3 linked regions of the Astyanax mexicanus genome follow. The protein of the gene in region 1 interacts with the protein of each later gene in a pairwise test. Links are inferred from orthologs where the notes say so. Each region holds a gene or a part of one and is shown in the gene's direction. Other genes may lie near its edges.

Region 1 (11,130 bases):
TCTACAATGCGACAGCAAAAAGCTACTTCAGCGCCACCGCGTGTAACTTATGTGTATTGCAGATAACCCACAGCAATAAGAGGATCTACATAAACAAACCAAGCAAAAAAATACACACACATTTTTCGTTGTTTTTTTATATTTTTCATGTTCTATTTTGTAACCTCAGGACCAGAGCCTCAATGTGACTGCAATTCCCATACATAAAAAATAAACGTTTTTTTTAATTATACATACACTGCTCAAATAACACAATTCAATCAGGAAATTAAATTAACAAAAAATGTATAATACTTGTGTTTCATTAATCAAGCTGTCAACGCACCCCAAACACACACACACACACACACACACAGATACACACACACACAATGTCTGCAATATATAACACCATGTGCTTCGTGTGTACATGCGCATATGTTTGTTCTGAAGGCAAGCAGATTGCTGCAGCTGCTCATCAAAAAAACATTAGCACAGAGGGGCTACTGCTCCCCTTCAGGCTCCCCCTGCTTCTTATATACTGCTGTCACCGTAGTCCCTAACAATATTCATTTGCATAATTTTCCCAAGAAATTTTAATTAACATGCACTAGCCTTTCTTTTCTTTTACAGATTATTTAGCTTGTTTATTTATTGTTTGTATGCCTATAGTGTTAAATTATTGTGATAAATTACTCAGATTACTTTTTTTCTACAAAGAAAACATGAACAAAATGTAACTATTTGTAAAGTATTTACTATGGATATCACGTACATTACAATGACAGTTGTATGCATGTGTATAATCACAAATAATATTTTTTTCCAGAGACAATGCTTTAATATAATTTGAAATTAAAATTAATCAGTAAACAAAAATCTATTAACTGATGACAGACAGTGAGGTGCAGGTTGACACAAAGACAGATAGCTAGACAGACAGCACACAGGAAGCCTGACATATTAACTGATATTTGTTATTATTGTACACTTAAACTTTAAAATTCACCATTTAGTTTTTAATTTATTTAGTGAATTCTCTTAGTAAAGGTGCATTAGTTTACACACATTCAGCAAAAATGGCCTACAGTCAAATTTCTACAGTAAAAGATTGTAGGTTTCTCAATGCTTTTGAACATTTGTTGAATTTAATAAATCTAATAAAACAGTCAGATGCTAATGCAACTAAACTAATTTTTATGTAAATGTATTGAGTGCCCATACATTGACTCAGTTCAACTAGTATGTTTAAAAGAAAAGAAAAAGGAATAATCGGTGTATATCTTATTTTTCTGCATTTGTTTATTAATCACGTCGGACAGTCATAAGCATTTGATTGAAACTGTTCTGTTAATGGCTGCATCTTTTATACTACTTTATTTAAAACACATTTGGCGTGTTGGCACTAAAATATAGAAATCTGTGATATAAAAATATTTTTTAATACAGTTACATACTCTGTTAATTTGAACTAAACAGTGTATGGAGGGCGAGTTCAGCGAGGAGTCAGATCGCATTCATTCAGTATTTTGTATCACATTACAGCGCTCTCTACCACACTCCACACAGACCCGTTGATTCAGTGTTCCGTATGGCACTCACAGAACCTAGTAATGCTATAGCTTACACAGTGCACGGTATCTACCAACACACTGCTTCAAGTTCAGCACAGAAACACAGCGTAGTTTGTATTAACCCGCCATTTAAAACACTCGTGACGTTTCACAAAAGACGGCCAATCCGAGTGGGTCTGTTATTAGGACAATGGAAAGTTTTCGACCAATCGGCAGAACGTTCGGCTTGGCGGTAGCCAATAGGATGCGAGCCCTACTGAGAGTAATGTTACAGAGCGAAGAGCTGAGTGAGAAGACTGCGTATCGCTATTACCTCCACACAGCCATTGCAGTGCATTGAGAATCAGCACCAGCCTTTGGAAAGTGTCAGCTATATAAATTTGGAAGTGTGGGTAAGTACAGAATTGTATGGATAACGAAAACCTTGTGTAAATTTTAAGCAAAATCTAATGTCGAGATTAACTGCATATTTAATTTTATAAACGTTAAAAAAAATTCCGTGAATTTAGACCGTGTATTATCATCTTATTGAAATAAGCGTAATCTTTGCTAGATTTACATTTTCCTGTAAAAAAAAATAAACAACAGTCTTGCCTAATTCTGATTATATTTAAAGCCTTGACTGCCAGATTTCTACATGTATTAAATGTGTTCGTTAAAACTAACGTTCGGTGCAAAGCTAGGTGAGTGAATTGCGTACAAACAAGGTCTATGGAAGGTATTACTGGCAGCTAGCAAGCTAGCAAGTCAGCGTTAGCCTGCTAGCTAGCCATTGCAGTGCATAGCCGGAGATGTCAAACATGTGAAGAGAGTTGGCTGTGGGAAATAAACAGAAATAAAAAACGTACTGAGGTAAAAAATGAGCTGAATCGTGCGCTGGGTGCTTGTTTGTTCGTGTAATCGGTTTTTGTGTAATGATGAAGAAATTGATGAAAAAAATTACCTCAGGATCTGCGCTTTACTGTAATGGCTGACTGTACTCGCATAGGAAACAAGGCGAAGCCACAGAGCCTGACACAAGCGCAGTTCACTTCAACTTTTTCGAACCGTGTTTTCTATTGGTATCTGCATTTAACCGAGAGATATTTCGCCAGAAAATAAAAATTCAATCTTTCGTTGTTGCAGTGAATGCGTTTTTTTATTTTTCCGTGTATAGTGACGTTGTTAAAATCTTAGTTAAAATAAGGTGGGTACCGCGGTCGCTCTGCCCCCTATTGCATGCAGTGTAATGGCTGAGCATTGACACAAAGAGAAGGAGCCATATTCTCAGTGTTAGTGGATGAAGACAAGCGGCCATTCCGAGCCCACAGCAAACTCTACACAGCCCGTACATAGACTTACTACAGACCTAGTGTATTACTATACACCGGGCGAGTGCATAGGGTTTTATGAAGGAGAAATTTTGTCAAGAACACCGACTTTCGCCGTTATTTGTCGAATTAAAAAGCGAACAGGAAGGCGGGTGGAGACATTTTAGGAGGACTTTCTTTCATGAAGAAGGCTTTCTCACAAAATGGAAGGAGAAATATTGCTGTCGTTGTTGACCTCCTTTCCCTCAACAAGACAGCCTGTGCGCCATTGCTATATATGAGTACATAGAAGAAATCGCTCTTTTCAGTGGACAGTATATTGGATTTTTTTTAAAACATTTTAACAGTTTTTTACCACTTGTACAATGTTATGCCTAGATTAGCACGCACAATATTTTTATCAGTTTGGTTGTTTTTACTCTTATTACCCATTTTCAACTTCGGATCTTAGTTTTATTCGATGTTATCATTACTTTAATTTTAGCTTTTATTGCAACTTTTTGTGTTTTATAAACATTAATATGAAGCTTTTCGCAACATCGGGATGGTAAACAGCTGATCTGTTGCCATTGCAAGTTTATGTTTATTCAAGGAAACGGAAAAAATCTTGCGATCTCTCTACACACAGACTTTGCTGAAATGTGAAGCACTAGGTGCACGGAGGTCTCAGGTGAAGAGTCTGTGTCTGTGGTCGTGTACAGATGGATGACATGATGCAAAATATGAATTCTCTCTTTTTCCGTTTTAGGGATATATTGAAGATGGGGAAGGACCCAACGAAGCCAAGAGGAAAGATGTCCTCTTATGCCTATTTTGTTCAGACCTGTAGAGAGGAACATAAGAAGAAGCACCCTGACACTTCAGTCAACTTCTCAGAATTCTCTAAAAAGTGCTCTGAGCGATGGAAGGTGAGCTATATGTGTGAAGCTATGTATGTGATGACCTCTAAGCAAAATTAATTTCTCACCTGCATGAGTATTAAAAAAAACTTTATTGTGTCCTACACAGACTATGTCAGCCAAGGAAAAAGGCAAGTTTGAGGAAATGGCTAGACTTGACAAGGCACGTTATGAGAGGGAGATGAAGAACTATGTTCCTCCCAGAGGTGAGAAGAAGAAGAGGTTTAAGGACCCCAATGCCCCTAAGAGACCCCCGTAAGAACCTTATATTACTTTAGTTTTTAGTCTTGGCTGACATACATGCATCAGTTCACAATGTCAACTGTCAGAACTATGCTAAACATATTTTGTCGCACTTTTGACTATTTTTAGGTCAGCCTTTTTCATTTTCTGTGCGGAATACCGGCCCAAGGTAAAGGAAGAGACCCCAGGTCTGTCTATTGGAGATGTGGCCAAGAAGCTTGGAGAAATGTGGAATAAGACTTCTGCTGAAGAGAAGCAGCCTTATGAGAAAAAGGCAGCCAAGCTGAAGGAAAAATATGAGAAGGTAAATATCACTAAATAATCTAAATAACCTAGTTATTGATTAGATTGATTAGACGTTTCAGTATTATTGTTGTCTCATAAACAATACATATTTGAAAGCGTTGTATTTTTTGATAATCCTATTAGAATATTTTTATTTTAGCCTATGCTAAATGGTTCGTCAGACGTTGAGATTTTAGTTTTTTTTTTTAATTAAGATTGACCCAAGTTTTAAATACATTTTTAAGGATATTGCTGCATATCGGAAGGGAAAAGTTGTGGGGGGTGCTGCAAAAGCCCCCAGTAAGCCGGACAAAGCCAATGACGACGACGATGATGACGACGACGATGAGGAAGACGATGATGATGATGACGAGGATGATGATGATGAATAAATTGGTTACAAATTAGAGCTTAGCTTCTTGTTTATAAAGCATTTAACCCCCCTGTACACACTTAACTGAGGCCATAAAATGGGTAAATGAGGTAAAACTAAAGGGAAAAAAATAAAATTATGGTTGTGCATATGATATGGGTTTTAAGCTGTACAGTTTTTCTTTTTTCCCCTTTTTGTATAGTAACACTACAAAAGTGTCATTTGTGTTTGTTTGTATTTTTTTCCCTGATTTTTCTCTTTCTCTCTCTCTCTCTCTCTCTCTCTCTCTGTTATATATATATATATATATATATATATATATATATATATATATATATATATATATATATATATATATATATATATATATGGCGCACACACACACACACAAATTTTTATTTTTTTTATTTTTTATTTTTATAAAGTTCCTTATGTAACGGTAGTTATGCCACTGTCCTTGCCCAGTACAGTCTAAGGGGGTTGAAAAAAAATGGCTTGGCGTTGATGGAATTTTAGAGGTGTGCAGCACACAACCTAGTTTAATGTGAGGTTGTAGTTCATATCTTTAATGTCTTTATTTTTTCTTTTTTTTTCACATCACTATCATTAGTAAATTACCGTATCATACAGTTATTTTACTGTACTTTGAATACCACTGTAATTGCCACAATGATTAAAAAAAAGAAAAAAATGCAATTGTTTCATTGACATTCTGGTAAGCTTCTGACATCAATAAACCTTTTTTTTAATAATTTTTTTTTCTTTTAAATTATTTTTAAGCGAATGAGAATACTTTTAATATTCATTTTATATAGTAAATTCATGGGTCACAGAATAATCTAAGTTTAAATTTATGTGTATATATAACTGTCATGAGCATTAATGTAAGGGTAAGTGAAAGATAAGTCTAATGTATTAGTGTGTGGTGTATATGTTTAAATCTAGATATTGCTTCATATTACTGAAAGGCTTGAAATGTGTTTATAAAAGCAAGAAAATATGTATTAATTCCGAATAAACGGCAACCCGCTGTTGGCTTCTTCAAACCAGACCACATACAGTGTCAGGCTTTCTGACCTTGCTTATTTTGTAAATGAGGGATAACAATGACCTGATTAATCATATTACAGACATCACACTTTTAAATATTTCAATGCGTTAAGTAAAAAACAAAAATTAAATAAACAGCAAGTGTTTTAGTGGATTTTGTTTCAGTCTAGCTCAGGTTTTATTTATCTCATGGTGTGATGTGCTTTGATTATAGTGACTGTGCCAATTACAAAAAAAAACAAAATAATAAAATAAATGATTGATGTGATAAGTATTGATATGTTACAGAGTATGTACTAAGGAATGCCCTGTTTATAGCTTGCATTTACTACCCAAGTCTTGGGTTCCCCCATGTTTCTTTGCAGAAGACCTTAGCTTCTAGAATATTCTAAAGTTGCATTGCACGAACAGCTTGTCTAGTTCTAATAAAAAAATGACAGGGGAACTTGAGGGTCATACCAGAAGCTTGTTTGTGTCTCTTCAGGTGGTCTATTATGTATTTTGAGATAAGCCTATTGTCTGTCTAATTATTCTGTTGTAAAATCCTCTTTTCAGCTTTAAACTGATGGTTAGACATTTAAGATTTTTAGTGATTTGTGCATTTATTTTTTTCATATCCCTTGCACCACAAACATCACAACTTAAGAGGATAATAGGTTCATCTCATGTATCACAGTTCGGCAACATGATTATTAAAAGTCCATTTTATCCACATATAAAGACTGTATTTGCTTCTCGTGGCAAGTTCTGTTCTGTTGTAGTTCTATTCGCCTCAGTTTTGTGATAATGACTTCTCTGAAGTCTTTCAACATGTTTGTGTATGTAACAACGCAGTGGAATGACGTCATATGGGTTTTTAGGGATATTTAGGGTTCATGCATTTACTTGTTCTCCCAAATAAGTCAGGTTTAGGATATTTTACAACTGGTTCCAGATAAATATATATATATATAGATACATAGTTATTTTCCAGTTTTTGCAGCAATAAAGGACTGTTAAGTTGAAGGCCTCGCGGTCACCGCGGTTTGGCCTCGTTTCTCTGAAGCTCCGCCTCTCTATCCGCCTTCCGACGTTTTTCAGTCGGCGTCTCTCCGCGGCCATGGTAACAACAGGGCGCTACGGTCTGCGGGTAAGAGAGATTATGGGTTATATTTGAGGTAAAAGCTTTTACATTATTTAAATGTATCGTATAGTACAGGGTTAAACTGAGATTTTAAGGCGTGCTTGACCCTAAATCAAATTTAAGCCTTTTTTTTACCATGTGTATTCATAGTGTTTTTGCTGGCCTAACCGGGGGCGCCTGATGGGAATTGTAGTCCATTAACTGAAAGAATCACTCAATTGTCAAAGAGAGTTCCGTCGATTAAACTACAAATCCCAAGTCAAAATTTAGCTCGTTTTGAAAGTGTCGTTGTATTGTGCTGTTTGATTTCGGTCGTATTTTTGTGTTTATATTGATTTGATGCATATTCTTATTGTTTTGCGCGTTCACAGGTTTAAATATTAGTTTTGAATGCACCAAACGCTAGCTAGGTTAACTAGTTATTTAAGCTACATTTTAAAAATTAATATTAAATACGGCTTGGTTCTTTGTAAGCGGGTATTTAATAATTTAGTCCTGTTGGCGTCAATCAGCGCTGAATATGTTTACTCACAGTTCCTAACTGAAGCTTTTCTGTGGCCTAATTATTGTCCTCCCCTTTCTGACTGCTGTGGCTTATTTTAAGGGACTCGCGTCAACAAAAGCACCTTCAACACAAGCAACCCCAAGCCCTCAGATTGGATCCTCACATTCTTTACACATTTTTACAAAATGAATCTGACTGAGATCTGTGACAATGCTAAGAAGGGAAGAGAATATGCATTGCTTGGCAACTATGACTCCTCCATGGTGTACTATCAGGGTGTTCTCCAGCAGATCCACAAGCACTGTCACTCTCTTCGAGATCCTGCACTGAAAGTTAAGTGGCAGCAGGTGAGCACACAGTTTGTGTATCAGTGAACTATGTTGTTGTAAGTTAAATGATGTAGAACAGGTCCATAAAACAAATGTAAAACGTAATACAATTATACAGCCTTATCTGTCAAATGATTGTTAAATGTTTGATCTGATATAGCTAATTAACTTGATTTAATTTTGATATCTTTATCTGGTGAGTGCAGGTGCGACAGGAGCTGGAGGAGGAATATGAGCAGGTCAGCAGTATCGTTAACACTCTGGAGAGTTTCAAGGTGGATAAGCCAGTTGACTTTCCCAATCCCCAGCCAGAAGAATGCCCTAGGGACCCTGCTGTATGGCCACCCCCTACACCTGCAGAACACAGGTACAGCTAGCCATGCGTATCCACCTGCAGAACACAGGTACAGCTGGCCATACGCATACACCAGCAGAACACAGGTATAGCTGGCCATACGTATACACCCGCAGCACACGTACAGTGGGCCATACGTATACACCCTTAGAACACAGGTATAGCTGGTTGTACGTATCTACCCACAGAACACAGATATAGCTGGTCATACGTATACACCTGCAGCACACGTACAGCAGGCCATACATATACACCCGCAGAACACAGGTGCAGCTGGCCATACGTATACATCTGCACTGCAGAACACAGGTATAGCTGGTCATACGTATACACCCGTGGAACACAGGTACAGCAGGCCATACGTATCCACCTGCAGAACACCGGTACAGCTGGCCGTACGTATACACCCGCAGAACACAGGTATAGCTGGCCATATGTATACACCTGCAAAACACAGGTACAACTGGCCGTACGTATACACCCGCAGAACACAGGTATAGCTGGCCGTACAGATACACCTGCAGTAGACAGGTATAGCTGGCCATATGTATACACCTGCAAAACACAGGTAAAGCTGGCCGTACGTATACATCCGCAGAACACAGGTATAGCTGGCCATATGTATACACCTGCAGAGCACAGGTACAGCTGGCCGTATGTATACACCCGCAGAACACAGGTATAGCTGGCCGTACAGATACACCTGCAGAAGACAGGTACAGTGGGCCATACATATACACCCACGGAACACAAGTACAGCTGGCCATACGTATACACCCGCAGAACACAGGTACAGCGGGACATATGTATAAACCTGCAGAACACCGGTACAGCGGGCCATACCTATACGCCCACAGCACACGTACAGCGGGCCATTTGTATACACCTGCAGAACACAGGTACAGCTGGCCGTATGTATACACCCGCAGAACACAGGTATAGCTGGCCGTACAGATACACCTGCAGAAGACAGGTACAGTGGGCCATACATATACCCCCACGGAACACAAGTACAGCTGGCCATAAGTATACACCCGCAGAACACAGGTACAGCGGGACATGTATAAACCTGCAGAACACAGGTACAGCGGGCCATACCTATACACCTGCAGAACACAGGTACAGCTAGCCATGCGTATACAACCGCAGAACACAGGTACAGCTGGCCATACGTATACACCAGCAGAACACAGGTGTAGCTGGCCATACGTATACACCCGCAGCACACGTACAGTGGGCCATATGTATACACCCTTAGAACACAGCTATAGCTGGTTGTACGTATCTACTCGCAGAACACAGATATAGCTGGCTGTACGTATACACCCACAGAACACAGGTATAGCTGGTCATACGTATACACCTGCAGCACATGTTCAGCAGGCCATACATAGACACCCGCAGAACACAGGTGCAGCTGGCCATACGTATACATCTGCACTGCAGAACACAGGTATAGCTGGTCATACGTATACACCCGTGGCACACGTACAGTGGGCCATACGTATACACCTCTAGAACACAGGTATAGCTGGCTGTACGTATACACCTGCAAATCACAGGTATAGCTGGCTGTACGTATACACCTGCAAATCACAGGTATAGCTGGCTATATGTATACACCCGAAGAACACAGGTATAGCTGGCCATACATATACACCCACAGCACACGTACAACAGGCCATATGTATACACCCGCAGAAAACGTGTACAGCCGGCCATTCGCATACATCCATAAAACACAGATACAGCTGACCATACATATACACCCGCAGCACACGTACAGTGGGCCATACGTATACACCCGCAGAACACAGGTATAGCTGGCCATATGTATACACCTGCAGAACACAGGTACAGCTGGACATACGTATACACCCGCAGAACACAGGTACAGCTGGACATACGTATACACCCGCAGAACACAGGTATAGCTGGCCGTACGTATACATCTGTAGAACACGGGTATAGTTGGCCGTGCGTATACACCCGCAGAACACACCTGTAGATCACGGGTATAGCTGGCTATACGTATAAAACTGCAGAACACAGGTATAGCTGGCCATACATATACATCTGCACTGCAGAACACAGGTATAGCTGGCCATACGTATACATCTGCGCTGCAGAACACAGGTATAGCTGGCCATACGTATACACCCGCACAGGTATAGCTGGCCGCACGTATACACCCGCAGAACACGTGTACAGCTTGTCATACGTATACACCCAAAGAACACAGGTAAAGCTGGCCATATGTATACACCTGCAGAACATAGATATAGCTGGCCGCATGTATACACTGTGCACATGTAGCACATGCCACAGCCTCACTTTATATCTAAGTAATGTAAAAGCAATTAAAATATGTCATGGTTACCAGTGTACTGTGATGTGCTTAAGCAGTGTGTTATTAGTGATATGTATTATGATTAATTTGATCTAAAATAAATATTCTATTCATGATATAATAGAATAACCTACAAAACCCTACATTTACTGTTGCCAAACTATTTATATTCATCATTTTAATTATATCATTTGCTTTCAGAAATGTACCTGCAGTGTTTGTCATGAATGCCTTAATTTGTTTTATACAAGCTGCTTATAATTTATTTAACAAATTAATACATAAGCAGGTTTTTGTCTGGTAGGATAACCGTTATAATTCCGTGTAATTTCCCTTTGTAATATATGAAACTCTTTATTCCCAGTACATCTGGTTTGTAAAACCTTCTTTTAACATGTAGTAACAGCATTTAGCAGCAGCATACAACTATGTGGGAATGCCTGGCTAAAATTTCTGTTAAAATATATTTATTGATGCATTGTTCTTTGCATGACTGCTTAAAATATTGTTTACTGTTATGTAGGTAAACAAACATACAAATAAACACTATAGACTATGATTATCTAATAGAGGTTGTGTCCATTTATTGTAATTATCGTTACTGGCCCAATCAATTCTTTTACTTACAAGTAAAATGTTCCCTGTTCCATTGGCTGCAACCAAAGCCCATAATAGGATCAATCCACCCCATACTTACCAGGTGTACTTTTTAATACACTAATCTTGTTAGTAATGTTAAAAATGTATTTTTAATG
Region 2 (10,638 bases), on another chromosome or scaffold:
ACCACTCCATCGCCCCCATCTTCCCACTCCGTCTTCCCACTCCATCGCCCCCCATCTTCCCACTTCGTCTTACCACTCCATCGCCACCATCTTCCCACTCCATCTTCCCACTCCATCGCCCCCCATCTTCCCACTCCATCGCCCCCCATCTTCCCACTTCGTCTTACCACTCCATCGCCCCCATCTTCCCACTCCGTCTTCCCACTCCATCGCCCCCCATCTTCCCACTTCGTCTTCCCACTCCATCGCCCCCATCTTCACACTTCTTCTTATCACTCCATCGCCCCATCTTCCCACTCCATCGCCCCCATCTTCCCACTCCATCTTCCCACTCCAGCGCCCCCCATCTTCCCAATCGCTTGGCCACTTTATGTGGAGTTATGTATCATAACTACGTTTTGGGAGATTGATCCACGCCCTCACTCCTCCCACTTCCTTCCCTATTTAAACCGTCACTTCCTCTCTACCTGTTCGTTTAACAACATCGCACCCACCTCCTCCCCATTGTCACACCTTAGCCCATATCTGTCTTGTGTTTCTCTCTAATTTGGTCCCTTGCGCTCCTGCTCTGTTTACCTCTGTTTAACCCTGCCCCCTCATTACCAGTCCTCACCCTCCTTGTGTATAAATAGCCCCTTGTATGAGTGTTTTCTTGTCAAGTCTTTTGTAACTGTGTCATCTGTATTTGCATGTACCAGTTTTGTAGTTTGTGTTCCTTGAATCTGTTTCTTCAGTCCGGGTTTCTTTTGTTAAGTAAGTGTGCCAAGTTTGTTAATTTTGTGTTCTTAGTGTTATTCTAGTTTTTCTGTTTCTTGTTTGTTTAGTTAAGCTTAGTTTTGTTCTTATTTTTCTTAGTTCTTATTTTTTTGCGCTATCCTTGTTTGTTTTCTGTTTTTTCATTTATCTTGTTTATTAATTAAATTGAAATATTATATATCTGCACTTACGTCCACCCTTCTCATCTGTAACATAAGACTCGACCTTTACTATGGACGTAGCAGATAATCCTTACAGAGGTGGGGAGGATTTGGCAGAGGAGTACTCAGATTCAGCTCCAGCACCTGCTGCCTGAGCTCCAGCTCCAGCACCTGCTGCCCCAGCTCCAGCTCCAGCAGTGCCTGCTGCCTCAGCTCCAGCACCTGCTGCCTCAGCTCCAGCTCCAGTGCCAGCGGTGCCCGCCGCTCCTGCTCCTATGTCTGCAGTGCCTGCCGCCCATGTGGTACCCACTGCTTCAGCTACAGTGCCAGCGGTGCCCTCTGACCCTGTGCCCGCGGCTCCGGCCGCCTCTGATCCTGTGCCCGCAGCTCCGGCCCCCTCTGACCCTGTGCCCGCTCCCAGAACTAAGCACACCCCCAGGTCGTGTGCTCCTAGACCTGCTCCAAGGTCTCCTGCTCCAGCCCCTCAAACTCTGCCCAGGCTGGCCCCTAAGACTTTGAACCTCACCAGTCCTGGGCTCCAGTCTATGAGTGTATTTGTACCCGTGTCTATCCCTGTATTAGTTCCTGTTCATGTCACTGTGTTCGTGTCCATCCCTGTCAATGTTTTTGTCCCAGTTCCCCTGTCCAGTCTTGTCCAGTCCTTGTTCCCGTCCACTACCCCATCTGCGTTTTTGTCTAGTGTTCAGCCCCATGTCCAGTCCCAGTTCCCGGCCACTGTCCAGTCTGTGTTTCAACCCCCTGTCCAGTCTCTGTCCCTGTCTAGTGTCCAGCCCTCTGTCCAGTCTAGCGTCCAATCCTCTGTCCAGGCTCAGCCCTTTGTCCAGTCTAAGCTCCCTGCCCATTCTTTTGTCCAATCTGTGTCCCCTGTCCAGTCTAAGCCCCCTGTCCAGTCTTTTGTCCAGCCCTATCCCCTGTCCAGTCTTTTGTTCAGTCCATGTCCCCTGTCCAGTCTTTTGTTCAGTCCATGTCCCCTGTCCAGTCTTTTGTTCAGTCCTTGTCCCCTGTCCAGTCTCCGCCCCCTGTCCTGTCTTTAGTCCAGTCTCTATTTCCATCCACAGTCCAGTCACCTCTTTTGTTCTGAGTTCCTCTGTCATAGTTCTGTCTTGTCTTGTTCCCCTGTTCCCTGCCTCTCTCGGCGCCTCTGGTAGTGGCGCCGTTGAGGGGGGGTAATGTCACACCTTAGCCCATGTCTGTCTTGTATTTCTCCCTCATTTGGTCCCTTGTGCTTCTGCTCTGTTTACCTGTCATGTGTTCCCAGCCATGTGCTACTGTTGTGTTTTTGTCCCTGTCTCCTCCCTGTCTCCGCCTTAGCCCCACCCTAGCCATTGTTGTCACCTTGTGTCTTGTTTGTAACCCCGCCCCCTCATTACTAGTCCTCACCCTCCTTGTGTATAAAAAGCCCCTTGTATGAGTGTTTTCTTGTTGAGTCTTTTGTCTTTTTGTGTCATCTGTATTTGCATGTACCAGTTTTGTAGTTTGTGTTCCTTGAATCTGTTTCTTCAGTCCAGGTCTGTTTTGTTAAGTAAGTGTGCCAAGTTTGTTAATTTTGTTTTAGTGTTATTCTAGTTTTCTAGTTTCTAGTTATTCTAGTTATTCTTGTTTGTTTAGCTTAGTTTTGTTCTTAGTTTTCTTAGTTCTTAGTTTTTTTGCGCTATCCGTGTTTGTCTTCTGTTTTTCATTTATCTTGTTTATTAATTAAATTGAAATATTATATATCTGCACCTACTCACGTCCACCCTTCTCATCTGTAACACCCATCTTCCTCCTTCTTTAATTTTATTCTATTTCCTCATGTTTCTCTTCATGAGAGGGGGGGGGCTTCGGCTTCACGCTTTACAGCGAAGCTGCCCCGAACTCCAGCCCAAATACTCTGAGTTCGCTCCCCCTCTTTTCTTCTTCTCTGCCCAGTAAAGGGCATGGGTCAATACTAGCAAAACCTCAGCTATGACTCCCGAGCTTGCTAGACTCTTGGCTATATCTGTGTGGTGGAAAGAAAATGTGAAGGGAACCAAAAGTTTAAAGATCAGAAGCTTGAAGACCTCAGACTGCCTATGTAATAAGTTGAAAGAAATCAGGTAAATCAAGTTAGAATGTCGCTTCACTGTGTCATAATTAATTAATAATTAATTTGCATAAAATTGAGAACATTTAAACTCCGTGTCACTTGTCCCTCAGCCCTGCCATAGAAAATGAATGTTCATCTGTCACGTCGCTTTCTACTGTGAACGCAGGGTTAGCCAGCATAGTCCAGATGACATTAGCTAACCTAGCTAGCATTAGCTATCTCAAGTATTCTCTGCCTTGTTATCCCAGTTGCACACAGACCACTGAAAATTTTAAATGACACTCAAAATTTTAAATGAATTAAAATACCTGTCCTTAGAAAGCTAACCTAGTGGTTATGATAAATTATTTAGCCAAAGTAACTTAGCTACCTGTTCAGGAGAAAAGTAGCAGCACAGCGTCTTGTATTCTTTCTGAGCTCGAAAACTTCTCCCTCTGTGAGACTATATTTACTATTGTTTTATTCTGTCTTTGATCACTGAGCTTTTTCAATGAATGCCAAGAATATTTAGTCTGTGTAGCAGCTAAGATTTGCTTGCTAGCTTCCATGGCTTCTTTCCCACTTTAGGATTACAGTGTTGGAAATGAGCAGCAGGAGGAGACAGAGACCACACCCACACAGATTTCCATGACATACCACACAGTTCTAGTAATAAAATACTGGACTGAACTTTCCATGTTTCCTTAATATATGATGACCCATACTGATCATTTTATTATGTACTACTGAAAATATATTCCCTAACGGTCTTTGTGCAACTGTTGTTATGGTTGTTCTCTGCTGTCTTTTCTTTGACTGCCTGTCTAGCTCAAGACCAGCTTTTGCTGGTAACTGGTTTTAAATGGTTAAAGTGGTTGAAAAGCTTTGTAAAGCAACTCTTGGATGGTTGTCCTTTAGAGTATTAATGGTCAAAAGTTTGTTAGCATCCTTTTTCTAGCATTGTCCTGTCTTTTAACATTCAATACAAGAAATACATTTAATTTTCTCTTGTCGCATTTACTTTTATTGTTTTAATGTAAAGACTGTTACAGTGCAGCAAGTTACAGTAAGCATGCAGCAGTCAAAATATGTATTAAGCTGACAAAATCTTATGGCTGCTGTGTGCAGCAGCCTTGAGGTTATTTCTGACTACATACAGAAAATACTCTGCTTCTGCACTTTGGAAAGACCCCACTGGACTCACAATACCTGTGATTGTAGCAGGGAACTGATTCCAGTTTAACAGTGCCCTGTATCGTTTTTAAGTGCAATGAAACAAATGCAAGGGATCTGTGATATATTGCTGTAATTAATAATACACTGTGCATCTGCATGGTTTTATGCACTGCTCTCATGCCACATGATTGGCTGATTAATTGCATGACTGACTAATTGTACAGATTCTCCTAACAAATTGCTCATTCAGTAAGTAGTAATATTACATAGAAATGTTCTGTGTAAACTTAAAATTATTACCAATAACACAATGACCAAGTCCATGGAGATTTTCATTTCCAGGTTCAGGAACTGCCACCTACTGACAAAAAAGTTCATTTTAATGGACTCTGGACTCAGAAAAGCTGCAGCAGCAGCAGCTCACAGAGCTAAATACAATATGTGTGACCTTGCAATATTACAAATACTGTACATGATGAGTTTGGATGACGTTTGCAAGGTTTGGACCTTTGGGTACCGAGCACCTAGTGAGCAAAATCCTTTCTGTTGCTGAATCAGCCAGGCTTGTAGTTTAGGAATTCTGAACAAAACTTTAGCTAAACTACCTGTCGTTTTGGGACAGCATTCTCAAGTTCAGAATCTTGACATTATGTATACATTCCCCGGACAATTTATTGGGATTCGTGACATTCATTATAATATGAAATTGATTTCATGAGTGTTTCTTGTGCATGTCAATTATAATTGTATCGTACCATTAATGTAGATTTCTCAGGTTATCTTTTTTATTACATTAAATGAAACTTTTTTCCATCGTTGATAGACAAGCAAATTTTTTATGGGGGGGGGGGGGGGTTATTGTAAATGGATAAAATCTAAAGTACAAATGATATGCAAATAAATGATACCTGTCTATTTTATTGCCAATGTTACTTTACTTTTTCAGCTGGGTGCTGACTGGCAATGCACCAACAAACCCATTGAATCTCTAAAGCGCTTGTTAATGAGCTGATTAGTTGAATCAGGTTTGTTGGGAGAAGGGAAAGCTATTCATTTTAATGGAAGGACCAGAATACAAGAACCTTGACCCTGTATCTTACATCTTACGGCAACTGGCACACCGACTGGCACGTCTTAAGGAACTATTTGGACCAACGTAGCACTGGCCACACATTGGCCACAAATGTGTCTACCAGTGACCGAAAATGTTGCATTTAAAGTTTAATTTAATGACATAAAATAGTGAACCTGAAAAATCTTGCCACCGTTCTCCTTCAGTTGTTCACCGACGTGTGTTTCAGAACTTTCCAATCGAACAGTTCTTTGCGCCTGACACTCTGGCTAAAACTCCACCCTCTTTGACTAGGTCTGCCTAACAACAGAGTGATCTATATTCTGATTGGCTCAACGAGAGTACATTATAATATACAGCCGATGAATTCGCAAGCGTGAGAAATACCATGTGTGGCGTGTGAGCGTGTTAACATCGCTGAGGTGCGTGTGTCACACGCTCAAAGCGTGAGACTTGAGAACACTGATATAATGTTAGTTTAAATAAGACTAGCAGCAGTGTTAGTGTACTGTTCTCATGTGTGCCCACAAGTTATCACATGTTATCCTGAACTTGTTTAAGTTAATCAGATCATTATAACGCAATTAATCTGTATCTTAGATTCTGATGTATTTGATTTTCTCTAAAGCTGTACACAAAATGCCTACCAGAGTCCACCAGAAGCATAAAACACGTGTACAGGACAGCGCTGAATCTAAAATAAAATAAAAAAATTATAGAGGAAAATAAAATCGTGACACGAGTTTTTGCCACACATAAGAAAACACTAACTCTGTTGCAATGTTTCTTTCTGCTTTATCATGTGTCGCTGATTTAACATGATGTTTAACATTTTTAACTAGTAATTTAAACTATTTTCTAAAAAACATATGAAACTGTACATTAAAGTGATTAAACGCATCATTAAAGGATCAAAGTCACTGCACGCTGAAATAGCACGTTACATGTGACTTAATGACTTTTATTTTGATGAAAGGTTCTCCCCGGAGTACCCCGGATGTTGTACAGGCTGCTCCACGCTGTGTGAGGAAGGTCGCGCTTTGTCTGCTGTTGCTGCTGCTGTTTATGTAAGTGTGGAGTTTATCGATTGTTTAATATCTCCTATAATCGCAGATCGCAGTCGTTAGAAACACATGTGAAGCAGCGGAAGGCTGATAGAAGCCGGAAACAGAGGTACTGTGATCTGCGCAGGAGCTCAGCTTATCTAAACATCTGCTAGTTTAGGTTACATCAGCCAGTGATTCTGTTAGAGGTTAACCCAACTGGATTCTGAAGAGAGACAGATTTCTGACTATAAACCTGCTCAGAGGTTTAGCGGACATTCCCTCATTTTAATTATGAATTTAACTACTTGTTGCCTCCCAGCTGTGTATATACATTTTGGGGCAGATAAGCTAAAGTTATAATAAACCGGTTGCTTAGAAATAACTTTTTTAACGGCTAAGGTTAATATGTGTAACTTAGTGTTGTGTGGTTTGTATTAAACGCAGTTTTACAGATTCATGTACATTATACATTGTCGAGTTAATATCTAATTTTACTTGTATTCTGTTATCATGATACTGTTATTACTCATTCAGATATACCCATTTGTCTTTTTATATTTGATTTAATTTAACCATACAATATTTTTTCCTTTTATTGATTCTCTAAATTGTATGTATTTGCTGTATAGAGTACCCTTCACATTCTCATTAATATTTGTTTATATGTATTATATTCTACATTGTTGATTAATATTAAAGACATACAACTATAACAGAAGACTTACAGTAAGGTAATAGGCAAAAAAGAGAGGTTTGGCCTTTACAAACACCTTACAAAAATAAAACAACCTAGAACTTTAAGCTTAACTTTAACTTTAAACCTATAGACAGTTGGAGAACTATTCCAGGTTCTACCTCATTAAGTCAACAGAGAGAATAATGCTAAGAGTGGTCAAAGTTGGCATCAAGCCAAAAGGTGCTACTTTGAAGCATCCAAAGTATAACATATTTTGACTTTTTGATTTTGATTTTTTTGTTTGTTTGCTTCATACCTGCATATGTGATCCTAATACTATTACACATTGTTTTATTAATAGGTTTGTCTTTCATCGTGTAAATAACATGAACTACTGAACTAATACAGTGTGGTGACACACAAGACAGTAGATCAGCCCAGATCCTTCTCCCAATGTCAGTAATCAGGCCAGTGTAACTGCTGTGCTGAGAATGGTGTTCCAATAATGTAGTCAGTGGGCCTATGATTAATCCTTTCAGTTGATCAGTATGATAGATGGCAACTGAAAACAATGACCAGATAGGCTACAATCAGAAATTTAAAATCTGAATAGTGCTTCTGTATGGTAGAAGTACAAGGTTAATTGGCCAATGAGTGTATGTGCAAGTTTGGTGAACCTTGTTATGTAACTGTCAAGTTTATTTATTTTTTTTAATGAACATCATTATGTAAGACTGTAGGATTAACCAAAGACTGTTTTGCTCTGCTTTTACAGCTTCTTCAGAAAGATAATGTCGACCATATCTGCTGCCAGCGTAGAGGCTGCCCCTGCAATCGAGGGGGCACAAGAGAAAAAGCCTCTGAAACCATGCTGTGCATGCCCAGAAACCAAAAAAGCCAGGGATGCCTGGTAAGGACATTGGAAGTACAGTCAGATTTCAGTTTGTGTATTGACATACAAAGTTGTAAATTAGGCTTTTAAAATCAGCTGTAGACATGAGGAGCTAATGAGTAATTGCAAAATGACGTTAGTAGCTCTTAATAATGTAGTTCTCACTTCTTAACAACAATCTACTGTGTTTAATAATAACTGTGTTATTATATTTGGCATTTGTGGTTCATGTATAGTATTTTTTCTTTGCAGCATTATTGAGAAGGGGGAAGAAAGTTGCACAAATCTCATTGAGGCACACAAGGAGTGTATGAGAGCACTTGGCTTTAAAATATAACATCAGAGGTGTGAAAATAAATGGTAGGTGTATCTTTTATCATTACAAAATGACGTGCATTAGTACACAGTAGTACTTTCAAATTGTCATTTTTTAACTTGCTATATTATTCTGAGACTGAAGTCATCAAACTCATGTAACTGATGATATAATGATTTAAGTTTGTGCCTGCCATTAAGTATTGAACACATTTCACACTGATTGTCACTTGTACATATATATATAGTAATATATTAATCTGTGTGTTATGTGTATATTTAGTGTAAGTCAAGTAAAAAAAATAATTTAAATTATTTGAATGTCACCAGATATGGCATAAAATAAAAAAATGATAAATGATTTCATTGATGAATGAAAATATATAAAATTTAGCTGGGAATAATGTCATAGCAGGAGTAAACACAAAAAGATTAAATATTTATTTTTGTTCATAGTTTGCATGTATTTATTTTTTACTTGCACTAAAATGAAAATATTTGACCATGGTTTTCATTAAATTTGCCACTTTTTAGCCATTAAATAAATTAATAGATATAGCAATTTAAAAAGTTTTAATTTAAACATATTTAATAAACCTTGTACATGTTTAATATCTCAGCAGACAAGCAGTGCAATTCTAGTCACACATTTACCTCAGAAGTGCTATTCTAATATTGTATTTACTTATTTACCCATGTAGTTCTGCTCCAGTCACTTGTGAGTCAGACTAACACAGGGAAAACAAGCCAAGTTATCATGAAAACACAGCTCTTTAAATTCACACAACTTTTGAAGAAATTGTAAACTGGTATCAAGCATGACCAGTGATGCTAAATGCCTAATTAAATTGACTTCATAAAAGCTACCTTGTTTTAAGTTAAAGCTAATGGTACCAATTGCCTCTTTTTAGGTTTATTTTTTGTGCTTTTGTTAGCAGGACTCCACTTTGTTACTTTGGAACATTGAAGTTTAGTACTTGACAGCTGCAGCTGTAGTTTAAGCGCTGTGGTATGATATGATAACATCACTGTTCAGAGCAAAAGTGAGATCTATTAAGCAACAGAACCAAGATGACTCTTGCCCAAGCAAGTCAGTGTAGCAAAAAGTGTCACAGTTCCTGTCTGCATAAGTCTTGCACCATCATCAGCCACAATCTTGGGGTAATAACAGTAGCAGCAGTAGTCTCTGCATGTGAGTCATGACAGTCAGCTGAACAGACTGTAAACAAAACTGCAATAACAGAAGTATTCTTTAGAGAGGAAAAGATAAGTAAGTTTATTAAAAAGCAATATTTGCCACGGGTTTGAAAGGGCTCTATTCTGTTGTCTGCCTGAAGGGATAATAAAAGTAATAGTGAAATAAGTAATTGAAAATAAATATAAATCAACTTATTTGGGCGTACTTATTTAAATATTTATTTATTACCAATATTTACTTATTAATTAAATTATAATTATGATTTTATAAATTTATTTAAAACAATACAGTTTTTATTTCGTAATATTTTAATTGTAAAGTTGTTTTCAGTTGTTTTTGCATGTATGGCATTTTGGCAGATCTGGTCTATAAATGGCAGCATTGATAAATTGAAGTATTTTGCTCTGTCTTGACCTCTACTAAACTCTGCCATTAATAAATCCCACTCATCTGACCAGCTGTACTTCAGGGAAGTGGAGATTGTGTAAATCTGTTTTGCTGAACATTTTACTTTTGCTTCTCTAGAGTTTAGAGTTTCCAGCTTTTTTCCAAATTGTTACACAAGTTCTCCCATAGAGTATACTGTAAAATGGAGTGTGTGTATGTGGGTTTAAAAGAAAGAGTTACTTAATAAAATCTCTTATTTTGCCCTGTAATCAGTTTGGGTGGGGTTTTCATCACTGTATAGTGTTATCAGCAGTTTAAGAATGCAGCATCAGCATATTTCCTGTCACATGACCATGCTGCTATTTGTGTTTAGCAGTTGTAAATGTGTTCTGTTGAAACAGCTGTTGGTTTTCATTTAATAAATCTGTATTTCGGCTCTTGCAGGGCAGAGCTCACCGTGGATCGGCGTTTGGACTACTTCTATTTATTCTACAGAGGGAAGATTTCTTTGTTCTTTCTTTCTATTTTGGTTTTTACAAATGTGATTTTTCTATTTTTGTTTCAAATATTTCTGTAAATGATGAATAAACATCCTATGCAATGTTATGCATTTTCATCTTCTTTTTAAGTTTTATTTTAAGATTAAATTAATTTGATTAAATTAATTATTTGCCTGCACAAGGTAAAAATAACACCTGAGAGGAAAGTTTAACCTCAGAGTTCACAAGTCCACATACTTATAAAATACTTGGGTAAAATTTGTAGAATTATTTAAATTTTTTACACTTTTAAATTTTAAATAGTTTAAGTAATGGTTTAATGGTAAAAATAGTTTAAATAATGGTTTATGCTATAATGACAGAATAATGTTGTACATAGTTAAATTAAAAACAG
Region 3 (11,073 bases), on another chromosome or scaffold:
GCACGCTCGGAGGAAAGCGCAACGACTCTGTCCCGATACATCAGCTCACAGACTCCTTGTGCTGCAGACATCACCCTTTAGAGTCCTGTGGGAAGAGAGAGAGCGCCATCTACCCACCCAGAGAGAGAGCAAGGACAATTATGCTCTCTCAGGGCTTCGGTAGCCGATGGCAAGCTACATGAACAGGATTCGAACAATCTGCCCTCTTTTTACAACTGAAAGTCTAGCTCAGTGAGTCTAAAGCAAGCTGTGATCGCTACTGTGACGTGAGGTGACGGGGGAACTGTGGGTCCACTCCATGCTAGGACACAGAACCGGTCCCAGCTGGGCCTCGTTGGACCCTTAACCCTCACTCAGGAGAGGCACTGGTAGTGAAAGGAAAGCTGAGGCAACCCAGACCCACAAACACTAGTAAAGTGAATTTATTTGAGTTTGCTTTGGGTGTGGTGGAGGGCGTTTTAGAAATAAACATACATTTCCCCAAAATTAAGGGTGTATGTATGTAAAGGAATCATATGTGTTTTATTTAATATAGATATGTTACCCTGAAGTTAAAATTCATTGAGGCACAATATCAAAAACAGGTTCACATAGGTTCAGAATTGCACTGATTATAGGTAGGTCTGCTTTTTAACATAGAGGTCAGAAGTTTTTGAAGACAAATATGGTCGGTGGTTAGGGTTAAAATGTTTATGTAACATATAATTAGTTGAACTCTTGATGCAATCCTTATTCATAACCCCTTCATATTGGATGAGGATTTTGAGGATACATTTTAATTTAAACAAATGTACTGAATGACCTGAGAGTGGATCATACAGAGAACATTGAATAAGACTGTGTAACCTAAGCACAGTTATATCTGTCTACAGGCTCCTAAACAGTAGCTATAATCCGTGGGGGAGGCTCTGGCAGTCTCACAGCTCAGTAAAAGCTCAGTGAAAGTTCAGTAAAAGCTCACAGTGGGAGCTGCAGAACTGCAGAGCTCCTTCATGGTCACAACAGACTCTACAGCTTTACACTACCATCTTGTGGTGAAGAACATTGTGGCCTGATCCAATACTAACATTTCCGGTTCTTATTTCTTTGTCTAATCCGTCTTAACAAACCTCAGAAAATATAAACATGTATATTGTGATCTGCACAACAAAGGGCTTAGGTTTCAAAGTGTCAGCAGGATGTTGTGTTTTTTTCCACATTGCCCAACACTGCAACACTACAACAAAGGATCAGCTGCTTGTACTAAATACCACCTACTTAGCCGAGTGACACCTCAAAATACATCACAGATGTTGTGTAAATTGTCTTATCCTGAGCTGAACTCCATCCATTTCATTCAACACTGCCTTATTGTTCCAAACACTGCTCCAGAAACATGGTGAGGAACAAAAGAAGAAACTGCAAGCAATGGTACACAAAAATGGCCATTTATAAAAAGCCATCAGAAATAACATCTGGCATTTGAAGCTGTTTACTATTCTGAATTGCATTCAAGCAGTTGGTTGACTGGTGCAACTGACAGCTGTGTACTAAAAGCTCTATTTAAATGGCCCCTCTTTCTAAACAAGTTTAAACAGTATAGTTTGTAGGCATTGAGAGCCCTGCTGCACAAGAGTAAGAGACGGGCAAGTTTCCCAGACATGGATTAAGTGTATTTTTGGGCTAAAGTGCAGTATCATTGGGGAATCTCCACTGGAAATTCTCCTCAGTCTGGGATTAGACTTAATCTGGGTCTTAATGTCCAAAAGACTGTAGACACCAGCATGTCCAACATTTTTTCTGAAAGCAAGGGTATCAATTGTTCCCTCTTTGCTGCAATAACAGCTGTATACATCTGATAAAGTCCTACATAGATGTTGGAAAGTTGCTGTAAGTATTTGCTTGTGTTCAGCCACAAAATGTTATTACTGAGGTCAGGTACTAATGTTGGATGATCAGTGATTCTGAATCACAAACACCACTTTGACACATCCCAAATTCATTGGACAGAAGTCCATCAATACTGAGGGCTTTTTATCCCTTTTAACATTGGGCATTATGACCTTGAACTTTAATAGTCATCATAATTCTAAATGAATAAAAATGGGCTTGTGTTTTGCATTTTAAAATACTGCATGCAAATGTCTGCCCTGCCAGCAAGACATTTCTAATGGGGATTATATAAAATGTGTGTGTGTATGTTTGTGTGTGCATTTGAGCTTCTTGTCATTTAAATAAACTTAAATGACTGATTAGAAGGGGTGCCTTGATACTTTTGTCATAGAGCGTATTTGTAAAAGCACAATAAATCACTGATAGAAAATGTTGTTTTTTTTTGTCTGCACTGTCTGTCCCAGTGATATAATTATTCTTAATTTCCCAGTAGTATTCAGTAGTGGGAAAAAGCAATGGTCCATGAAACTTGTGCCGAAGAGAAACACATGCACAAATCACTGTGCCCCTTTCATTTGTTTTTAATGGCAATAGTTGTTTCCCTTTGAATCCTCAGGCATTGCTGAAACGCTATGGTGCGACTAAACTCCTCTATGGCTTTGAGGCGTATCATAGGAGACCGCTCTGTGGTCAAAGGCGAAATAGAAGCTATGGCCCTAAGCCTCAGCAGTGGCAGCCTGCCCTCGAAAAGAACAGAGCAGCACTTGTGAGAAGAATCACTTCAAACAGTCTTACGTAATGCAAACACAATTACTGATATTAAGCTCTGATGTCTGGAAGTACAGCCAAGAGCAACATGCCTTTTCACTCTGTCCCCAGGACTGCAGCGTGCAAGCGGCCTCCGTAATCACCAGGGCAAAAAGCAGGATACGGGATTAAGGGGAAGAGATGACTGCTCTCAGTGAGTCCAGCACATTGTAGTAACATAATCTCTTCATCCATGTTAGCTAGCTGCTTCGCCTCTCAGAAGGTCCTGGTTCGATGGGTTATTAACATTTACATAAAGGTCATTTTCAGAATGCTGTGCCTTTTGGTCCTCAAAGCTTTCGCAATATGTTTTTATTTTTAATGTTTTGACTATTAATTATATTTCTCTTTTTTCCCCACATGGACATGAATCAGCTAAGAACACTGACAAACCACACAAATCTGAGAGAAAGGCCGGCACCTAACAGTAGAGTTAGAAACCGGTTGCTTCTGTCTGAAACACCAGTTGACTAATCCTGCTTTAGAGTGAGGATAGGACCGCCTACCTAATAAACACACAAACGAAATAAAGAAATAAATAAATGATGAAATGTGGGGGGAAAATAAATAAATAAATGTTAAAATGTTGAACTAAATAAATGAATTAATAAATAAAGAAATGCAGAAACAAATAAATGTAGAAAAACATCAATCAAAAATAGTATAAATAAATGCAGAAATGTAGAAACAGACCCAAATAAAGGTTCATGCATGAAAATATGGAAATAGATTCCTGTTATAACGAATTTTAGGTTTTAGGTGTGTACTTTTTCATGACAAAATGTGTGTTTTAATTAATGTATTTATCTATACAATTATTTGTGTATTTATTTATCTATTTTTTTTATTTATTCATTGATGTATAAATTTTCTTTAATACAATTTTATTTCTAATCCTTCCCCATTTTCTCCCCAATTTTGCTCAGTTAATTACCCAACCCACTCATTATGACTCCCCCTATCACTAGTGATGCCCCAGCACACCAGGAGGGTGAAGACTAGCACATGCTTCCTCCGATACATGTGAAGTCAGCTACCTATCCTCTTTTCGAGCTGCTGCTGATGCAGCATTGTGGAGTAGTATCACAGTGCACTCGGAGAAAAGTGCAGCGACTCGGTTCAGGTACATCAGTTTACAGATGCCTTGTGCTGCAGAAATTACCCTTTACTAATGTGGGGAGAGAGCACCATCTACCCACCCGGAGGGAGCAAGACCAATTGTTCTCTCTCAGGGCTCCAGCAGCTGATGGCAAGCTACATGAATAGGAGTATTGATTTATTAATTTAAATGTGCATTTATTTATTTATACTCATGTCAGTTCCTGTCCACCATAATACTTGAGAGTTTACATGTTCATAAAAATACTGCATGTTCATGAGATTAAATATGTTTGGTTGTTTTTTTTTGATTGAATTTATCTCTTACCAATCATTGTAAATGTAAAATTATTGTGGGACAAAGCCCCTTATTCTCACTAAGGATTTTAAGTGATTTGAACTTGCCATTCAGTCAAGTTATTCTGATTCCTGTGTCCAAATGTATGATATAAAAACAGGGAATATACTTGTCTTATTTTAAAGATTTTGAGATTGCTTATTTTAGGAAATCTTATTAATAAAAATGTGCTTATTCAACTGGGAGATTTTGTGTAATATAAGCATATACATCTTGAGTTTTATATACATTTTATATTTTTGCTTATTCATTTTTTGCTGTGTTGAAATACTGAGTTGCTCCCATCCTGCCACAAAATGCCAACCAGCACAGATAATAGAAATCCTCAGTTACGCATCATTTAAAAACTTTACCCACAGACTGTCAATCATTTAATACTGTTATTTAAAATAAAAAAAATATGTTTAGCATAAACATCAAATCTGCTATTAATCTTTCATGAAGTCAAACAGACCTAAAATGTCTAAAATTCAAATTAAATTCAAAGTCAGTTTCTGTTATATAACAGTGATCTAAACCACTACAATTTGAAAGCCTAGCATGTTTGTTCTGCAGCTGGATCTTTGTGATTAGGATCAAATTCTAATTCTCAGTAGGGTCTAGGCTATGGTTAAACAGCCCCACTGAACAGTGGTGAGTGAATTTTTGTGGCTGTCTGAATAGGAGGCCTAATGTAGGCTTTTTCATCCAGATTCCAGTGTCAGCTCACTTACTGTTAAATATTTTAAGGTTCTTAGCAATGTCAGATTTTATGAGCAATGACATTTAACAAAACAATTCATAATATAAAGAGCTTCAGTGTAAGGTTTGCCTTGGAGTAAAACATTCAAATGAAGTGTGTCCACAAAGTCTGTCTGTACAGAAAGTTTTAAATTAAATGATAATTTACTTGGGAGTATTCTATGTTATTTTGGACAAGACCAGCTGGTCGTTTAGTAAAAACATACCCTATGCTGATTGGCTAGCTAGTGTTTTTTTGGATGACCAAAGCTCTGGCACAGAGGACTGAGACTTATACAAACAGTCCTTAGGTTTCCTTAAGTCTCTGAGAAGATGAAGCAGAAGATAAGTGTAAATGGTAAGGTCATCTGGCCTGCATGTGTACAACTTTACGTTGTGTATACCTCTTCTGAGAAGAGGTTTCCAACACTTCACTTAGTGTCTGACTCACTTCAGATAGCTTGTTGTCTCCTAGTTCATATACACTGGTCCCAGAACAGCAGTGTAGCAGTGAAGCTTCTCTGACACTCAGGGTCATGTTCTCCTCATTACTCATTGTTAATGAGAACACTCTGACCTTCCTGATTCCTATAAAAGTACAAACCACCTCCAAGGCCAAGTTCATAAAGATTATATATATATATATATATATATATATATATATATATATATATATATATATATATATATATACATATGTAAAACAACAATAAGAATAAGTGTGAAGGTGTGAAGGTGTGGTCATTTCCACTCACCCAATTCAACCATTTCTAAGGTCATCTGATTCACCAGCAGTGATCTAAATGTCTATGATACCGTCTATGATACTGAAAAGAAGTTTGTCTTCAACAAGTTTCTTGTTCTTTCTCTATTCCACAAAAAAATTGAAATTGAAAACCTCTGGAATATATTCAAGAGGAAGATGGATGATCACAAACCATCAAACCAAGCTGAACTGCTTTGCACCAGGGGTGGCATAAAGTTATCCAAAAGCAGTGTGTAAGACTGGTGGAGGAGACCATGCCAAAATGCATGAAAACTGTGATTAAAAAACAGGGTTAATACACCAAATATTCATTTCTGGACTCTTAAAACTCATTTTAGCCATTCCTCATTTTCTGCAAATAAATGCTCTAAATGCCAATATTTTTATCTGAAATTTGGGAGAAATGTTGTCCGTAGTTTATAGAATAAAACAACAATGTTTGTTTTACTCAAACATATATCCTATAAATAGCAAATCAGAGAAACTAATTCAGAAACTGAAGTGGTCTGTTTATATTTTCCAGAGCTGTATAACCTTAAATGACACCTTTTCACCTTATTATTATTACTACAGTATTTTTTTCTTTTATTATTTTTTTGTGATTTTCAATACTTTTTCCATTGTATATTATCAAATAAAGACGAACAATAAATCTAGCAACAGGAAATGTCACATCAGAAATAGAATTTCTAGTCAAGTGCATGGAGATAAAGACGACGCTAAAATTTCAGGCTCTTCCACGTTTCGCCGGTGAAGGTCGCCAAACTCCAGCCTGCTCCTGGTTTTGAGTCCGCCAGAGACTCCCCTCAATCCCACAATCCCAGCAGCCAAAGTTTGTATTTATTTGAATGGTGCTGGCTTCGCCCAGTTCGTGAATGTGCATTAAAATCTAGCTGTCATCCTTTCTGGTGTTTCATCCACAGATTATCACCGTGTTATATTGCCGTAGGAAGCTGAAGAAACTGAGCTTAACTGACAAAAATGCCATGGTAAGGAGAACTTCGTTATGATCAGACTTGAAGGGACTAAGCAGCCATATGTTATTGTGTAACTACGGTACCACAGGTTAGTTAGTTAGCTGTTATCGTTGGCTAGCTGCATAGAGAAGTAGTGAAGAGTTGTTATTTAGTTGATTTCGTGGGTGTCTCGGCTGGGGTAGATTAAAATGAATTAGCTGAAATAATGCTGTGTCTTTTGTCTGTATGAGCTAGGTAGCTAGGTTAGGTTGGCTAACGCTAGCTAGCTAGCTAACTAACTACTTGGCTGACTCTGAACGTGATAGCTGCTAATTAGCAAGGTAGCTAAACTGGCTAGCTAGCTAGCGTTAGCTAATAGAACGGTGGGCGGCCGTCCACAAGTTTTAACTAACGTTACCGTAACAACGTTAAAGTGCCGGTTTTCACTCAATTACGTTCAGGTTACCTGTTATTAGCAGTTTTATATTCGGTCCAGACTGACAAAATCTGTTTGCTCATGGCGGCTAAACATGTAACGTTACCGCTAGGTTATTTAGCTGGGTTAGCACGCCGAGGAGCTAACGTTAGTTCTGTTTTAGACACAGGAGGAATCCACTCCAGAATTTCGTTCCAACTGCCTTGATTGGGTTCGCTGCAGTTTGCAGCCAGCCATGCAGTTGGGACTAAATCCTGGAGTGGATTTATACATTCGGGGCATGGATTTCCCATTTCTGAGTTTTGGAAACTCCTCCTTTAGGGATTGCTTAAACCTAGCTAGTTTAGCTAGCGTTAGCTACCTAGCTAAGCCATTGCTGCGTGCAGGATTTAACTGTCTTGCTAAAACGTATGGTTAGCTTACATTGACAAAGCTGATTCACAAAATTGGGTATTTTAACGTTAATTAGATACATTACATATTCCTGACGCGTATCCGTGTTGGCTAATTATAGCTAATACTTATGTAAGATACCGCTAGCTAACCTAACTTAAGTAAAGTGTATCTAGCTTTAGCATATACGTCTTAATCCGTTATTAATAAAGTGGTTTGTAAAGTCCTGGGCTGGTTTTCCCAAAAGGTTCTTAGCACTAAGATAATTCTTAGATGGACGAGCAAGCTTCACACTGAGCCCTCTCTCTCCATGTTAAGATTTTCTTAATGCAATAAGATGCTTTTGGAAGACTGGGCCCTTGCCGCTAGCTACATGTTGTCAAACTGATTGGGACTGCTTCCCGTACGTGACTTAAGATAAGTCAGATACTACCTAGTTTGTTGTGTTGGATCTCTGATGGAATACAGAATTGTTTAAAGTTGTAGTTATTGGAATAAATGTATTATATTGTCTTTAAAAAACAAATTACATTACCTCAAATGGTTATGGATATAAATTTATATGTCATACTTGGACCAAATTACAGTGCAATTTTCCAATTAAATTTGGGCTTGAAATGCGTTATTAAAGGCAGATAGTGCTAATAACACTTAATTAAAGGATAACTCGGGTGTAAAATTGACTTTTGATGTAGTAAAACATGATAAAGAGTACTAACCTTTGTTGAATAGCCCACCTCCGGTCTCCAACAGCTTCCTGAGATCCAGCAATTTTTATTCAGTTTGTCCACAAATGCTTTAGAATGGATTGTATGGGGCATATTTTGACCCGATAAATTGCTTTTTACACCGTTATCCAGGCTCAGATTAGCTCCACACCTCATTGGTAGAATCTAAGGAGCTTTGACATTTATATCGAGGCATTAATAACTTCAAAAGTGCACAAGAAACTTATTAAAACCACTGTTTAGAACCTGTAGCGTTAGCTACAACCTTGGGTGCCCAGAGATTAGGTTATGCTGTGAGATGTAAACAGGGGTTTTTAATAAGTTTCTGGTGCACTTTTGAAGTTATTAATGCCTCGATTTAAATGTCAAAGCTCCTTAGATTCTACCAATGAGGTGTGGAAACTGCTAAAAAATGACTGGATCTCAGAAAGCTGCGGGAGAACGAACATGGGCTAGTCAACAAAGGTTAGTACTCTATCATTTTTTACTACACCCAAAGTCAATTTTACACTAGAGGTATCCTTTAAATCTACAGCCCTTTTACCCTTATTAACATTACAGGTTGAAACAGAAGGCACACATCGGATCACTGACTGATTGTGATAGTAAATAAAAAACTCTTTGTAGCAGTCACAGCTGTTGTTCTCATCGTGAATAAGAAATGAATCTATGCTTATAGTATTAAAACCATCTTAAAGAAGAAATCTGGTGTGAAATTGACTAAGAGCATTCCAGTGCTCTTAGCTGATGCTCCCAACAGGTTTCCAAAGCTAGCGGGGGCATAGCATTTCACACTTCATTGGTTGAATTCTAAGGGCCCTGACATTTAAAATGAGGCACTAAGAAATTTGAAAGTGCACTGGCATTTTGTTTTAAAAATAATATATAAATAAAATAAAATAAATAAATAAAAAAGACACACAGTGTACACACAAGGTATACACACAGAACCTTGAGGTAGTTCTCCGGGTGCCACCATCTTGACATTACAAATACTAGAGTGTAGGCAACGTGCTCACTCGAAACAAAAGTATAAATCATTCTTTTTACATAAGATTGAGCCATAAAACTCATGGTATTTTTACTTCATGTCTGGACCACAATGCCTTATGAAAAAACTGTAGTTGCCATGCATTGAGTACATTTTTGTCATTGTTCTTTAGAATTCTTGATTATGGCCACTGGAAATCATGTTGGGAATGATGCAGAATTCCACAGGCTCATGCAGGCCCAGTCCTTTGATCTTTTCAAACACCAAAACTGTCTTGGAGATGGAAAGAACATGAGGGAGGTGAGTTCACACATTTTGACATCCCTGAACTGCAAGTTTTATGACGGGAAATGTTGGCTAAAAGCAGTGAAAGCTACTTTTGCCGACTCGAGGAATACTAGTATGCCTATCCTCTCTTTTTAGGTGGATTATTTAAATAAGGAAGAAATAAATAAAGAAAGGTGAGTTTTGAGCCATGGCAATAAGGGCATGATGATCTGTTTATCTCAATGTTGGGATGAATTGATGAGCCATAACCCAGTTTCTAAATTGAAAGAAGCAAAATGATGAAAACATTGTCACTAAGCATTAAAGAGGGTTCTGCTTTGTTGACAGATTTCCAGTGGGACGTTGTGCACACAACTACGGCAAAGCAAAGCGAGTGGTGAGCAAGAAGACACGTCTCTCAGCAGTGGGCTCTGGTGTACGCCGGAGAGCACCCTCAGCAGGCAGGTCCTCTGACATGGCAAACAAAGAAAATGAACTGACATGTGCCGAGGACATTGATGGCATTCACTATAAGGAAAACTGTGGGTTCCCTGTGAACTTGACAGAAGCCTCTAAAATGGCAGGAGCTGGCTCCAAGTATAGTGACTGCTTTACTGAGGTGAGTTCCTTTTGAATAAACTAAGGGAAGCTGCAGATCAACAAGTGATAAATTATAGTACTAAACTTTTTTTTTTTTTTTTTTTTTTTTTTGGAAACACAACATAACAGATAGCTTGCTTAAAATCTGTCTATCTAAAAGTATAAAAATCAATTTTTAATTACTCAGGAACATAGAAGTATTTAATTATAGAAAGTAGAGATGTGACAAGATCTCGTTCAGTGAAATACAATATTTTCATTTATACATTTCAGTTTTAAAATAAAGTGTATATAAAGATTTTTAAAATCTCATCTCATCTTATTCTCATGAACTCGTGTGAATATCGTGTCCCATCTTGTGAGATGAGTCTTATCACATCCCTAATAGAAAAATATTTAAATTGGTGATCTATTGTGCACTACAGATGCAGAAGAATGAGATTGAAAATTACTGCAGTATTCCTTTAGTAGGCTTGATCCTATTGACAGACATTAATGTTTTGATGTCTATGCTAATAACATTTTTCTTTCCCTTAAAGTTATCAAAGGATCATGATGCAGTGACTCATGTGCTGTTTGGAAGGAATCTCAGATTAAATGTTGCTTTAACTCTTTGGCGAAGAAATGCTAGTGAACTTGTGGCTTACTTGATCAGGTAAAGATTTTACAGACTGTTTAGTCATCTTTCACCTTTGATAAAAAAAAAAAAAAGGATTTTTGCATTTGTGTTGTATTAGGTGTATTTGCAATAGAATTTGTAAGTTGTTTTTTTATGTATTATTGTACAGAATACAAGACACTGGGGTCCTTGTTGATTGTCTACCTGTACTTACAAAAAGGTAAGTTAAACAAACTGTGAAAACCATAAAGTACCCCCCCCCCCCCCCCTCGCCCTCTGTGTGTATATATTTAGTATTACGCATTCAGAAATAAAATTAATAATTTTTGCTGCACTGCATTGAATAGTTAAGATAGTAGAATAACAGTTTACTTCTGAATCGTATTAACAGTATTCTATATTTTTCTTTTTTTTTTTTTTTTTTTTAGCCTTCAAGACGAACAGCAATGTATATCCATTGGT

Evidence for each region.
Region 2: the proteins of katnal1 (region 1) and cytochrome c oxidase copper chaperone interact in binary tests that used the Homo sapiens proteins (3 or more experiments, as listed by UniProt). The two-hybrid records come from large-scale screens. The link is inferred for Astyanax mexicanus from reciprocal best matches to the Homo sapiens genes KATNAL1 and COX17.
Region 3: the proteins of katnal1 (region 1) and katnbl1 interact in binary tests that used the Homo sapiens proteins (3 or more experiments, as listed by UniProt). The two-hybrid records come from large-scale screens. The link is inferred for Astyanax mexicanus from reciprocal best matches to the Homo sapiens genes KATNAL1 and KATNBL1.

The regions. Positions count from the first base shown.
Region 1 is NC_064427.1:14,351,379-14,362,508, forward strand, and holds the start of katnal1 (katanin p60 ATPase-containing subunit A-like 1), read left to right. Parts: upstream 1-6,731; 5' UTR 6,732-6,842; exon of another isoform or gene 6,843-6,870; intron 6,871-7,440; 5' UTR 7,441-7,526; coding exon 7,527-7,688; intron 7,689-7,876; coding exon 7,877-8,037; coding exon of another isoform or gene 8,038-8,074; intron 8,075-8,340; exon of another isoform or gene 8,341-8,445; intron 8,446-8,519; exon of another isoform or gene 8,520-8,829; coding exon of another isoform or gene 8,830-8,924; intron 8,925-9,487; exon of another isoform or gene 9,488-9,550; intron 9,551-9,587; exon of another isoform or gene 9,588-9,842; intron 9,843-9,879; exon of another isoform or gene 9,880-10,119; intron 10,120-10,161; exon of another isoform or gene 10,162-11,130. Other genes in the region: hmgb1a (high mobility group protein B1a), read left to right, coding at 3,625-3,771, 3,872-4,017, 4,135-4,309, 4,536-4,682. UniProt on the Homo sapiens protein: Regulates microtubule dynamics in Sertoli cells, a process that is essential for spermiogenesis and male fertility. Severs microtubules in an ATP-dependent manner, promoting rapid reorganization of cellular microtubule arrays.
Region 2 is NC_064418.1:25,448,116-25,458,753, forward strand, and holds cytochrome c oxidase copper chaperone, read left to right. Parts: upstream 1-6,200; 5' UTR 6,201-6,297; intron 6,298-6,319; exon of another isoform or gene 6,320-6,403; intron 6,404-7,727; 5' UTR 7,728-7,743; coding exon 7,744-7,862; intron 7,863-8,096; coding exon 8,097-8,181; 3' UTR 8,182-8,204; intron 8,205-10,188; 3' UTR 10,189-10,350; downstream 10,351-10,638.
Region 3 is NC_064408.1:76,334,404-76,345,476, reverse strand, and holds the start of katnbl1 (KATNB1-like protein 1), read left to right. Parts: upstream 1-6,409; 5' UTR 6,410-6,610; intron 6,611-8,527; exon of another isoform or gene 8,528-8,599; intron 8,600-9,297; 5' UTR 9,298-9,308; coding exon 9,309-9,425; intron 9,426-9,548; coding exon 9,549-9,586; intron 9,587-9,740; coding exon 9,741-10,011; intron 10,012-10,531; coding exon 10,532-10,647; intron 10,648-10,780; coding exon 10,781-10,831; intron 10,832-11,039; coding exon 11,040-11,073.